2 linked regions of the Solanum lycopersicum genome follow. The protein of the gene in region 1 interacts with the protein of each later gene in a pairwise test. Links are inferred from orthologs where the notes say so. Each region holds a gene or a part of one and is shown on either strand. Other genes may lie near its edges.

Region 1 (5,274 bases):
CAACAAAACTAAAACATTATTCCAGTAATAAATTACATTTTCATCTTTAAGATAGATACCATAAACGTATTTTTACTCGAAGTTCTATTATTTTGTGACGTACAAAAAAAACACTAAACAGAAATGTTGTTATGTATTAGATAAATATGGTTTTATTATTATTTAATAAGAACAATAAATTACTTGACTTAATATATTAATAGCTTATTAAATTTGCCAGTCAATTCTATTTTGATGTAGTGCTAAAAACCCATATGTTATGTACTATAAAAATGTGTATTCAAGTAAGTTATCAGTTTCAAAAAAAAAATGTGTATTCAAGTCTCTAATTCTATTTCTTTCTAAATTTTCTGGCAACATCATCATTGATGCCACTTCTCTTTTTGAGCCAGATGAGTGCTCCTCATTCTATGTTCTAGCAATTCATAACTAGGAAGTTACTCAATTGCTGCTTGCTAAACTGGCTATAAAGCATTATTATCTCCATACCATCTAAAAATTCTTCATTAAGTCTCGAATAATATCTATGCAGCTCATTACATGGCAAGAACTGGAAAACGACCGAGAGAAAATCTCAAAAATACACTAAGATACCTCCTTCATGACAGCTTGGGATGCCACCATTTGAGTATCATCCTTGCAACGAGCCAAAGCCCTTTCAACATAACCACAAAGTGATTTAGGAAAAGTATCAGGCTGCAGACAACAGAAAGATCACTTTAATTAAGCACGGAATAAATAATCTGACATTAATTTGATGCAATGCAAGAATAAATACCATGTTATGACATGTCACCATTATCCCAATTCCCAACTATTAGTTACCACTAGAATAAAATACCAAGGTTTCTCAGATTGTGTGGCGACAAAAGTACAGAACACAACCAAGGAGCAGTATTTCATCAATAAAACCTAACAGTTGAACTGTCAATCATAACAAGATAGAAGATTGCAGCGTCAAAGTATCATATTAAAAAAAGCTGCTCCTTACTCCTTAATAGTTCAGCAAAATCAGAAGTCCTACCAATATCGAAATTTCCTGTACAAGTGATTAAACCAAGTTGACACAAACCTACCAGTTTAGCCATTAATAACTATATCATTGTTTCAACATCAACTTGAAAAAGAGAATCCCAAACTGAAAAACCCGTTAAGAGTATTTCAAGAGAAATAATTGCAGACTCACACAGCTTTAACTTTTTCCCAAGTGAAATTCATGTTCAAACACAATAGACTTCCAGATAACCTTTTCCAACTTCCATCTCAGATTCTTTTTTTTTTAACTTGAACCAAATATCGTCACCAACATTAGTAATTAATAGATTTAACTTTAGCAAGCAAGCATGTTGCTTTTCACTTCAGAAGTTGTAACGATGTCGACCGTGAAAAGGTAAGTTGGCTATTTCTATTCTCACAGCTACACCTAAAAGATAATGCAATAAAAGTTCAAAAAAACTCTGTCCGGCTTTTACCATAATAGAATATACATTTACACAGAACTCGCAGACGTCTCAGTAGATTTGTTCACTAGACACATTTAAATGACCAAGAAAATGATTATAAAATAACCCATCTTCGCCAAGCTTGGAATGCAATTGTTTTATCCAAAACGAACATGTGAGCTTATCCACATGCGACTCATTGGAACAACTCTGAAGGTTTTCCTGATAGACCAATGGTGGTGAGTGCCTTTAAAAGCCCTAACTACATCGTATTAAAGAAATACACAACCTACCACCCAAGCTACTGATTCACTGGTTATCAAAATATCCTCTGCATAACTATTCCGCCAATATCACCCATAATATAAACCTTCCTTACTAAAAGCACATAAATCAGCGAAAATATGGAACTCCAGAATATTAAATTAGGTTAGTCTTGCTAGTATTGATAAAATGATACCACACCAAATACACTTGACAAGTCACTTCCCAAATGCACTTCTACATATTAGACTAATGGAGTTATTTAGAGGGCTATATTAGTACTAGATCATTCTTGTCAAGCGCATAGGATCATTTGCTTTAATAGGATTTAATTAGCATCATATCATTATTTTTGAAGAAAAACTTTGGCAAGTTATATGAGAAAGGTCCTAAGAGGTGCTACTCAACCAAGGGTGTAAAGAAGTCTAATCAATGCATATATGGAAGTTTAGAGAATGGCTGGCCCCTCCAATTGGTAATTTGGTTTAAGATGAAGTGAGTTGTTTTGTTAATGGCACCAAGTAGATGCAAATAAAGTACAAAAGATAGTAAGCATGAAGTAACACTTTTCTCAAAAAAAAAAGATAGTAAGCACACAAAAGAGTTTGTTAGCTCCATTCGAATATGTACTCCTCTCGAATTCGTTAATGCATTGGGGTTTTCGAATTTTCCCCTACAAATTATCCATAGTGACTACTCATAACAAGCATCACTTGACCAATTCAAAGAGAATCTTATAACAACATACCCGGTGCAATCCCCTAAGAGGTGGCTGGTCTAAGAGAAGCTTACAACAAACATAAAGGAACACTAGCACAGATATCTTCTAATTGACTATCAAGATGAAAGACTATCAAGAAGCAAGTGAAAAATCTATCATCTTAGTCAAGCATTTGAACTTTGTCCGTCAACTATGCAAAGTTATGTTACAAAACACAATTTATGATTGCATGTTTTACTGAAATGATCAAAGTTAAAGGTGTTTAACCTTGAGAGCATTCTCTGCAGCATTAGATGATACTTTTTCATTAGTTTTTGGTAAGGAAACGCTGACATATGCAGGTTTGGCCGCTGCATTAGTTGTAGAGCTTTGGATATCCAGCTTTGGTAAACCCATGGTCAATGTTGAAGTTATTCTAGGGTTTGTGGGAATCTGTAGTTTGCTAGCACTACCTGTATCGCCTGGTGTAACAGTTTGCTGCATAGTGGGCAAGGATGACTGATAATTATAGGGCATCTGATAAGAGGCTTGATATTGTGTGCTTGGTCCTTGGGGACATGAAGAACTTTGTTGAAGGTTTTCATGAGAAGGGGTTATGTCTAAAGGCTTTTGACCATAAGACTGTACTGGATCAGGCTGCTGATTTTGGAAAGAGGGAGCCCAATGTTTCCAGTAACTATCATGAACGTTTCCACCTACAGCAGGAGACTGACCCAAAAAAAATTAAAAGTTAAGTTCATTAGGCAAATCAAAAAGAACTCCACACATAACATGAAGGGAAAGAGAAATGAAGTTGCTTTTCTCAGTGTACTGAGTATTGAAAAGCAAAAAAAAATGAGGCACTGACTGCAATGACAGTAGATAACATCTCTTCTTCTGTGAGTAGCTGGCACTCAACAACTCGCACAAGATAGAAGTTGAATATCCAGACTATCAAACGTATAATAAACACGAATGATATTTAGACAGCAGAGTTAAAAGAGCATACAAGGCATTGCTTACCAGATCTTTAGCAGCTTGTTGAACAACAGAACAACTAAAATAGCAAATTAACCTAACATGTGAGTGTGATACATGATTTATCACCATCTTTTCCGTCTCTCTGATTGCTTAACATGGTTTTGAATTTTAAGAGGATGTTTGGATGGACTTATTCTAAGTAGTTTTAGGCTTTTAAGCTCTTCTTTATTTTTGGAGGTGTTCGGGAAAGAAGAAGTGCTTTTAACCACTTTCTTTTAGGCTGAAAAAGCACAAAAACAAGCTAAAAGCCAAAAGGCTATTCCAAACTTATGGCTTCTAGCTTATAAGCTACTTTAAAAAGTCTATCCGAACACCCCCTAAGTGAATTACATGACAACTGATATTCAAATAGGAGTCTCGACGCATGCATAAAAGTTATGTCTCTACGCATGCATAAAATTATCTATTATAAGTAAAACTCCAACAGAGTAACTCATTTGTGAATTGCATGTAAAGGAAAAACCTGCACCGCAGACAATGCGGGCAAACCAGATTCTGGCTTGCCAGGTGGAGCATGAGATGCCGGAGCCTGGACACCTGAAGCTGGGTAACCCGCCGGAACAGGGCAACTCAGACTGGATACATTAGAAACGGAAATATTTTCTGTTCCAGGAGCACAGGGGACATCATTTTGTGTATGGTTGTAATAATCGGCCCATTGCTTGTACTGTTGTTGATACTGTGAAGCAGCAGGAGCTGTGGTAGAACTGTATGCGGCATTTGAATCAGAATTGTAGCTTGGATACTGATGGGAAGTGTATGTTGCATATTGTCCTTCATGCCATGCGTTCGTCTGGTTATTGTAAGCACCACTTGTGTAACCTCCAGATGTCTGGTAATCACCAGGATTGTAGTAAGTGCTTGAATAACTTGCAGGCCCAGCATAAGACCCTGTATTCTGTAATGAGGAAAGGGGCTGATAAGGAGCACCTGTATTTTGATATGCTCCTGATGGCTGAGGATAGGATTGATTAGGTTGTTGTTGATAGCCATTATAGTAAGCAGCATATCCTGTATTGTTGTATCCATAAGGATCAGTACTTTGATAGGTTCCATAGCTACTGTAATCCTGCTGTACATTTGTGGCACCGGAACTTGGTGTAGTAGCACTAGCTGCAACATTCAATCCATCTTGAACATTCCTTGAAGGCGGTGCAGCTTGTTGGTCATGATCATAACCAGAATGTGAGACAACTCCATTTTCCCTGGCATAGCTATCTGCAGCATGAGCGCTCCATGGTGCAACTGTAGAATTTGGAGGGGCGTAATATGAAGACATGTGATGTTGGTTTGGATCGACAGCCTGATGATTCTATATAGGGAAAAAAAAGGATTTAAAGTCATATAATGGGAAATCAACTCACCTATCCAGAACAATTTATAGCAAGAGCAGTACATGATAAAGTTGCAGAAGAATAGTAAATATAAGCAAGTTAAAAGAGTTGGTGGCTGAAAGAGGAGAAGCATTTAACGCTTTCACCATTCGAGTAAAGGAAACATTTAATCAATCAACATGTACAACGACCAAAAATTATACATGTAGTGAATGTCTATCCATAGAAGGCAAGAGCACACAGTTTCGGCTCATAAGAACCAGTTTCTCAACATAAGGATAGTCGGTAGTCAATGCATCAAACATGACCTTCACAAAATCTATCTACATTGTTGCCCAAGTATCTCCACGATAAACATAAACATGACACATACCAATGTAAGTAAAGCCTTTCATACTTGTATTGATGGATAAAAGCAGACAAGGCATCTTGATTTACTACTTACAAACATCACTAGCACAAGACAGTCAATTGTGTCTCTCCAGCATCAGAG
Region 2 (5,802 bases), on another chromosome or scaffold:
ATAGACTCCAAACTAAACTACTAACCATTTACGAAGCCTCTAAACTGACTGAAATAGATGCTTGGACGATTCCACAATATCCTAAAAACTAAACTAGTAAAGGAAATGAAAAGGATGTCCTTCGGAATGAAAGGAGGCTCACCAGTGACTGTGAAACTCAATCTGGATCAATGAAGCGATGTTTGCTTATCCTTGTTACCTGCGTCTGTATCATGAAAAGATGCAGGCCAACTAGAACCAGTACATTGAATGTACGAGTTTTTGAGTTCGAGTGCTAACACAACTATGCATCTTCAAATAGAGTAAGGATGAACTTACTTTGGCTCTGCTCAACACATAAGATGAGAACTCAATATATATATATATATATATATATATTGTAAACTCTAAGTTCATTGAGATAATAATAAACTCAACTTTACTTATATATGAAAGTAATATAGTTTCTGTGGGATACAACAATGACTATGAGCCTAAGTGATGATACAACGTCACGTCCACGCTGCCATAATTTTGCAGTAGAAAATAAAATAACATCACATTTTGGAAGTCGCAAGACAAAAAAATAATGTGATACTTACAGAATATTGCTTTCTTGTTGGGCAATACCAATAACATGTCTGACTTCAAATGAGTGAGATTTGTTCCTTGGTAACATTCAAGAATTGACAAGTCAGTTCACTCTTTTTGCTCAAAAAATTCGCTTAACTCAAGGTACTTTGGCAATATTATAGGCAACCTTTGAATCTCGGTAACAATTTTCTGTTAGACCTAGATGAAGACATCAAATCATATGCTTTTATTCATCGTTCCTTCAATGCAACGACTGTCAAGATCTAATGGAAGTCCCCGTTACTATTTACAGGGACATAAACATCATTTGTCAAGAGCCAAGACAGTCCACAAGCTATATCAAACCCTTTCATAGTGCCAATGATTTTATCCTCATATTCAGGAACAACACTAGCATTGTCAATTATGTTTTGAAAAAACAATTAGTAGTGGTATATCGATATTAAAAATGACTCTGTTAGTTCGACTTCTTATGCAAATAGTAAAAAATGACATCCACATACTGCACGATGCATCAAACAAGTGTATCTTTTTTATCAATTTATTAGTATATATTCATGTATTAATCAAAACATAAAAGTGGAAATGAATTTACCTCATCAGTCCAACACTTATTGTGTTGAGACATTTTGTAGAATCAGTTCTTATTCTTTGAAAATGCAACTACAAAATCAAGTTGATTAAAATCAAGTTTTGAATAATTGTCTAAGTAGTGATCGTCCTTGTCTCTTTTACAATTGTGTAATCATTATAAATAATTATTTAGTGGACAACAAGAAGAATACTAATAATAGTTGAACGACCTTATTTTTTTTACATGATACTTGTAAAAACTCTCATTTATTCATTGTGAGAAGGATGACATTAATTCATCTGGACCCCGCCATCAATGTCAAAATCTTTAAATGGATATTGTCGCTTCACATCATAACTGACGACATTGACTTTTTTCTCTTTCTTTTTTACTTTCGCTTTTTCAATCTGTTTCTTCTCCTCTTTTTACTTCTTTTTGTCCTTCTATTTCTCCTTCTCCTTCTTCTTATCCTTCTCCTTTTGCTTCTCCTTCTCCTTCTCTTCCTTTGCCTTCTTCTCCTTATCTTTCTTCTCACTAATTATAGAAAGTGTTTGAAAAATTCTCTTCCTTTGCCTTCTTCTCCTTCTCTTTCTTCTCACTAATTATAGAAAGTGTTTGAAAAATAATTTTTTTCAACTTCCTACACTTCAAAGGCTGTGAAATTTTCTAGGATCTTTGAACATCAATATTATGAGACATTTTCTTAGAAATATCAGTGAGTTTTTTTAACACAACTAATGAAATAATTATATTGTTGCTCACATTCTTTGCATAGACAAAAAGAGCATTTGATGTTAGAAGAGGAAGCAAGACCAATAAAAAGATTGAGTTGTTGTCATGGATGAATCTTAAAATATCATTTCATCAACAAGTTAAATAAAAAAAGATTGAGAGTTTACAATTCATTATAAACTAATAATAACATTATGCTGCCACATATAAATCTTATGTTGCCACGGATGAATCATATGTTGACACAAATATGTCTATTGTTGCCGAAAATGAATTTTTTATTTTATTTTTTTAAAATGATTTGAATTAAATTATAGAAGTTAAAAAAATAAAAAGAAATTTGAATTTTTTTTTTAAATATTAATCAAATTTACTTTATTACCTTTTTAAGAAAATCTAAATAGATCTTGATGATTCTGTCACCGAAAACAAAAATCAAAATTTATTTGACCTCTTTCATTTAATTTGGAGAATAGAAAGAGGGTTTATCATTGTCGTGAGTGGAGAAGAAAGACATAAACCCCTCTGGGTTTCTGCTCAAAGCGAAAAGCTTCAATTGAATTGAAGAAGAAAGAATGGCTTCAGCCTATTTAAGCATGGGAGAAGCTCACAGACGAATTACTGACTTCCTCAATCGCTTCTCCGATGCTGTTTCATCTCAAGATGCCAAGTCTCTATGCCTTATTTTCTCTATCTCTTCAAATTCTTCTTTTCTCCTTTCTCTATCCGATGCCCTCATCACTTTCCAGGTAACTGCGCGTTCAATTGTCCATTTTGATTGTTGTAGACACTTGTATGAATTAAACCTTCTAGTTTTCTTTTACAACTTAGGGCTTGAATCGGATTGATGATTCCTTTTTCTGGATGAAACTGCAGTAATTGCTTTGCTACTCATATTTCTACTGGGCTAAATTTCGCATTTGGGTTTCTTATACCTCTTTTTTGCTGATGGGACAGTAACATAGTGGGATAGATGGATGTAGTGTGATATATGAATGGATGTTTTTGTAGATTGAAAAGACTCCTTAATTGAAATTCATGTCTCTAAAACAGGATGCTAGCAGAGTAATGAGACAAACTGATAGGTACTCTCAGTATGCAGATATACTACTCCCTCTATTTCGTGCTTTACATAGTTATCGTCTCAAAAACTTGGTTGAATCTTACCAGGCTTTTGAAAAAGCTGCCAAGTAAGTTTAAACTTATTCTCTCCTTTATCCTATATCCCTTTTCCCGAATTTTCTGGGGAAATATTGATTTTGTGGACATTGCAGTGCATTTACTCAAGAGTTTCGCAACTGGGAATCTGCTTGGGCTTTGGAAGCCCTTTATGTGATTGCCTATGAAACTAGAATTCTAGCAGAAAGGGTAAGAGCTATTCTTGTTATATTTGGATTAGTAGAAGATTTATTGAGTTGACTAATATATGTTTTTGAATGTGTAGGCAGATAGAGAGTTGGCTTCTAATGGAAAAACTCCTGAGAAGTTGAAAGGGGCTGGCTCATTTCTCATGAAAGTGTTTGGAGTCCTTGCTGGAAAAGGATCAAAACGTGTTGGAGCTTTGTACGTGACTTGCCAGCTTTTCAAAATTTATTTCAAGCTCGGAACAGTTCACTTGTGTAAAAGTGTTACAAGAAGCATTGAAACTGCCCGCATTTTCGATTTCGAGGAGTTTCCTCTTAGGGATAAGGTTACTTACATGTATTATACTGGACGGTTGGAGGTGTACAATGAAAATTTCTCTGCTGCTGATCATAAGCTATCATATGCTCTAAGCCATTGCAATCCTCGAAAAGAAAGAAATATAAGGTCTGTATAGATTCCTTTTATGTTTCGGGATTACTTTGTTCCACACATGAAAAGATATAATGGTATGGAGATTATTGGATGAATATCCGGCAATGATACTAATTTCTGCAATAAATGTTGGATTTTTACATTTAAGGTGTCGGTTTTCTTTTTCAAACAGGAAACCAGACACTATTACTGAGTGCATTGATTTCATCTCATCGATTTTAGGCTTTTCTTTTCAGGATGATACTAAAATATCTGATACCTGTGAAGCTCTCAATAGGCATCTTACCTAAAACTTCGCTTTTGGAGAAGTACAATTTGACTGAGGTGTTGCATGTCTTCTGGTTCATATTTAATTTATTCAGCTTGAAATGTTGACATTTTTTTAGAATAGTCTAATGCATGCATTTACTTGGCAATAGCTAGTCTAAAGAAGGTATGGCTGCTGATTTCTGTTTTCGGTTGAACATCACGGAGATTATTATGCTGTTGAAATGGAGCCAAGAAATATTGAATTGTCATACTTCCCAAGGATTTCATGAAAGGGTTTTCTGTTTATTAACTATAAGTGCTAGACATTAAATCTGTTTTCTTCGTTTAGCTTTCAGACTCTTTTAACGTTTGAAGTTAATTCATTCAAGTTTCTGAGTTTTACTGACAAAAAAATCTGTTAAAGTTACTGATGTAGCTTACTAGAGTTGCATATTCCATTTCTAAGGGTCCAAAGGGATTATTGATCTTCATTTCTCCATCATCTCCTCATTTCTGTTATCTTTCTTCCTTAATTTCCCTATGCTCTGAGATCCTCAAAATATTCCTATTCAGTTTATTGTTTTAATATCCTTTAGTGCTTAAACATGCACCTTGTGTATGGATAAGTAAGAGGTGTCGTTTACTTTAACACTGAAAAGCTGCTACTGTTTTACACCTTGGATTAAGTTGACTACTAGGATTTTGTAGGCTTTTAGTTAGCAGTCGAGACCTATCTAGTCACGTTACTATAAAATGAACTGGCTCGCAAGTTGGCCTGACCGCCATCGTCATAAAACAAAATTACTATAAAGTAAACTGGCCTGAGATATGCATTGAGTGCTGTTCAAGATCCATTGACAAGATATATTGGTATACAATTATACAAGTTTGTGACATACATTTGAAATTTCTTTCTTTGGAAATAAGTCTACCAAGATTTTGATTCCATTTCCAATGGAATCTAATAGTGATGCTTCCCTGATTTAACCTTGTGTTGAAATTCTCTTTAAAATGATTTTATGACATTTGACAATATTCTATATATTGTATCTTCTACTGTCACAAATTTCAAGAGTCGGAATCAATTTCACTTTCATCTTTAAGTAAAGTTCTCCTTTAAACTAAAGTTCTCCTTTTAACTAAAGTTCAGCCTCCAATGCATCAACAAAATTGGTAGTGATTGGTACACCTAGACGGAGGTTTCTAGGAAGTAAGTGTCCACAGCGTCGCATACAAACTATTTGGCCTGAGAAACATTGTTTTTTTTTTCCTTTTCTGTCCGTCCTTAAAAAAATAATGACGGTGTTCTGCGGCTTGCTCACACGTCGATTATTCCACTGGGTACTAGCTACCTCCCACCAAAACAAGTACCGGGTACCTCTGCCAAGGCTTAGGCAGAAGATAAAGAGAAAAACCCAGTGTTATCTTGTCTCTGCTTAGTTTGAACCTTGATTGCCAAGGTTTTCACCCACTTCATTGAATGCTAAGTCACACCTTTGAATGCAAATTATTTTTCCGTCTTTTTTCTTTCAATTGTCTTGATGATGTTAATTGCTTTTCCCCCTTTTTCATTTCTTTATTTTTTTCCTTTTTTGTCTATTCTGTATTGACATACTTGTCTACCTTCAGTAGTATTTTCTCTTGCTTCGTTTGTTCCTGGTTTTCTGACATGAAATAATCGTGTCGCATGCCATATTCTCTTTCTTGGAGCTCATCCCTGGAAAGTTAAAGAAATTGTTGGCATTCTACTATTAACTTGCATCAGCTGTATTTCTAGTTTAGAAAGACCTCAACACTGCTCTATGAGAAGCACCTGGGTCCTCTTTGCGCTATTCAACTTATTTTTGAAAAATTAAAAGGATATTTGGTCCCATATT

What was found.
Region 2: the proteins of SAC3 family protein A (region 1) and enhanced ethylene response protein 5 interact in binary tests that used the Arabidopsis thaliana proteins (3 or more experiments, as listed by UniProt). The link is inferred for Solanum lycopersicum from reciprocal best matches to the Arabidopsis thaliana genes SAC3A and EER5.

The regions. Positions count from the first base shown.
Region 1 is NC_090804.1:67,957,073-67,962,346, forward strand, and holds part of SAC3 family protein A, read right to left. Parts: intron 4,760-5,274; coding exon 3,911-4,759; intron 3,136-3,910; coding exon 2,695-3,135; intron 697-2,694; coding exon 595-696; intron 1-594. UniProt on the Arabidopsis thaliana protein: Component of the TREX-2 complex (transcription and export complex 2), a muliprotein complex that functions in docking export-competent ribonucleoprotein particles (mRNPs) to the nuclear entrance of the nuclear pore complex (nuclear basket).
Region 2 is NC_090806.1:47,705,966-47,711,767, reverse strand, and holds the start of enhanced ethylene response protein 5, read left to right. Parts: upstream 1-2,267; 5' UTR 2,268-2,454; coding exon 2,455-2,628; intron 2,629-2,932; coding exon 2,933-3,069; intron 3,070-3,153; coding exon 3,154-3,247; intron 3,248-3,323; coding exon 3,324-3,688; intron 3,689-3,912; coding exon 3,913-4,000; intron 4,001-5,802. UniProt on the Arabidopsis thaliana protein: Involved in the regulation of ethylene response. Probable TREX-2 component required for nuclear RNA export.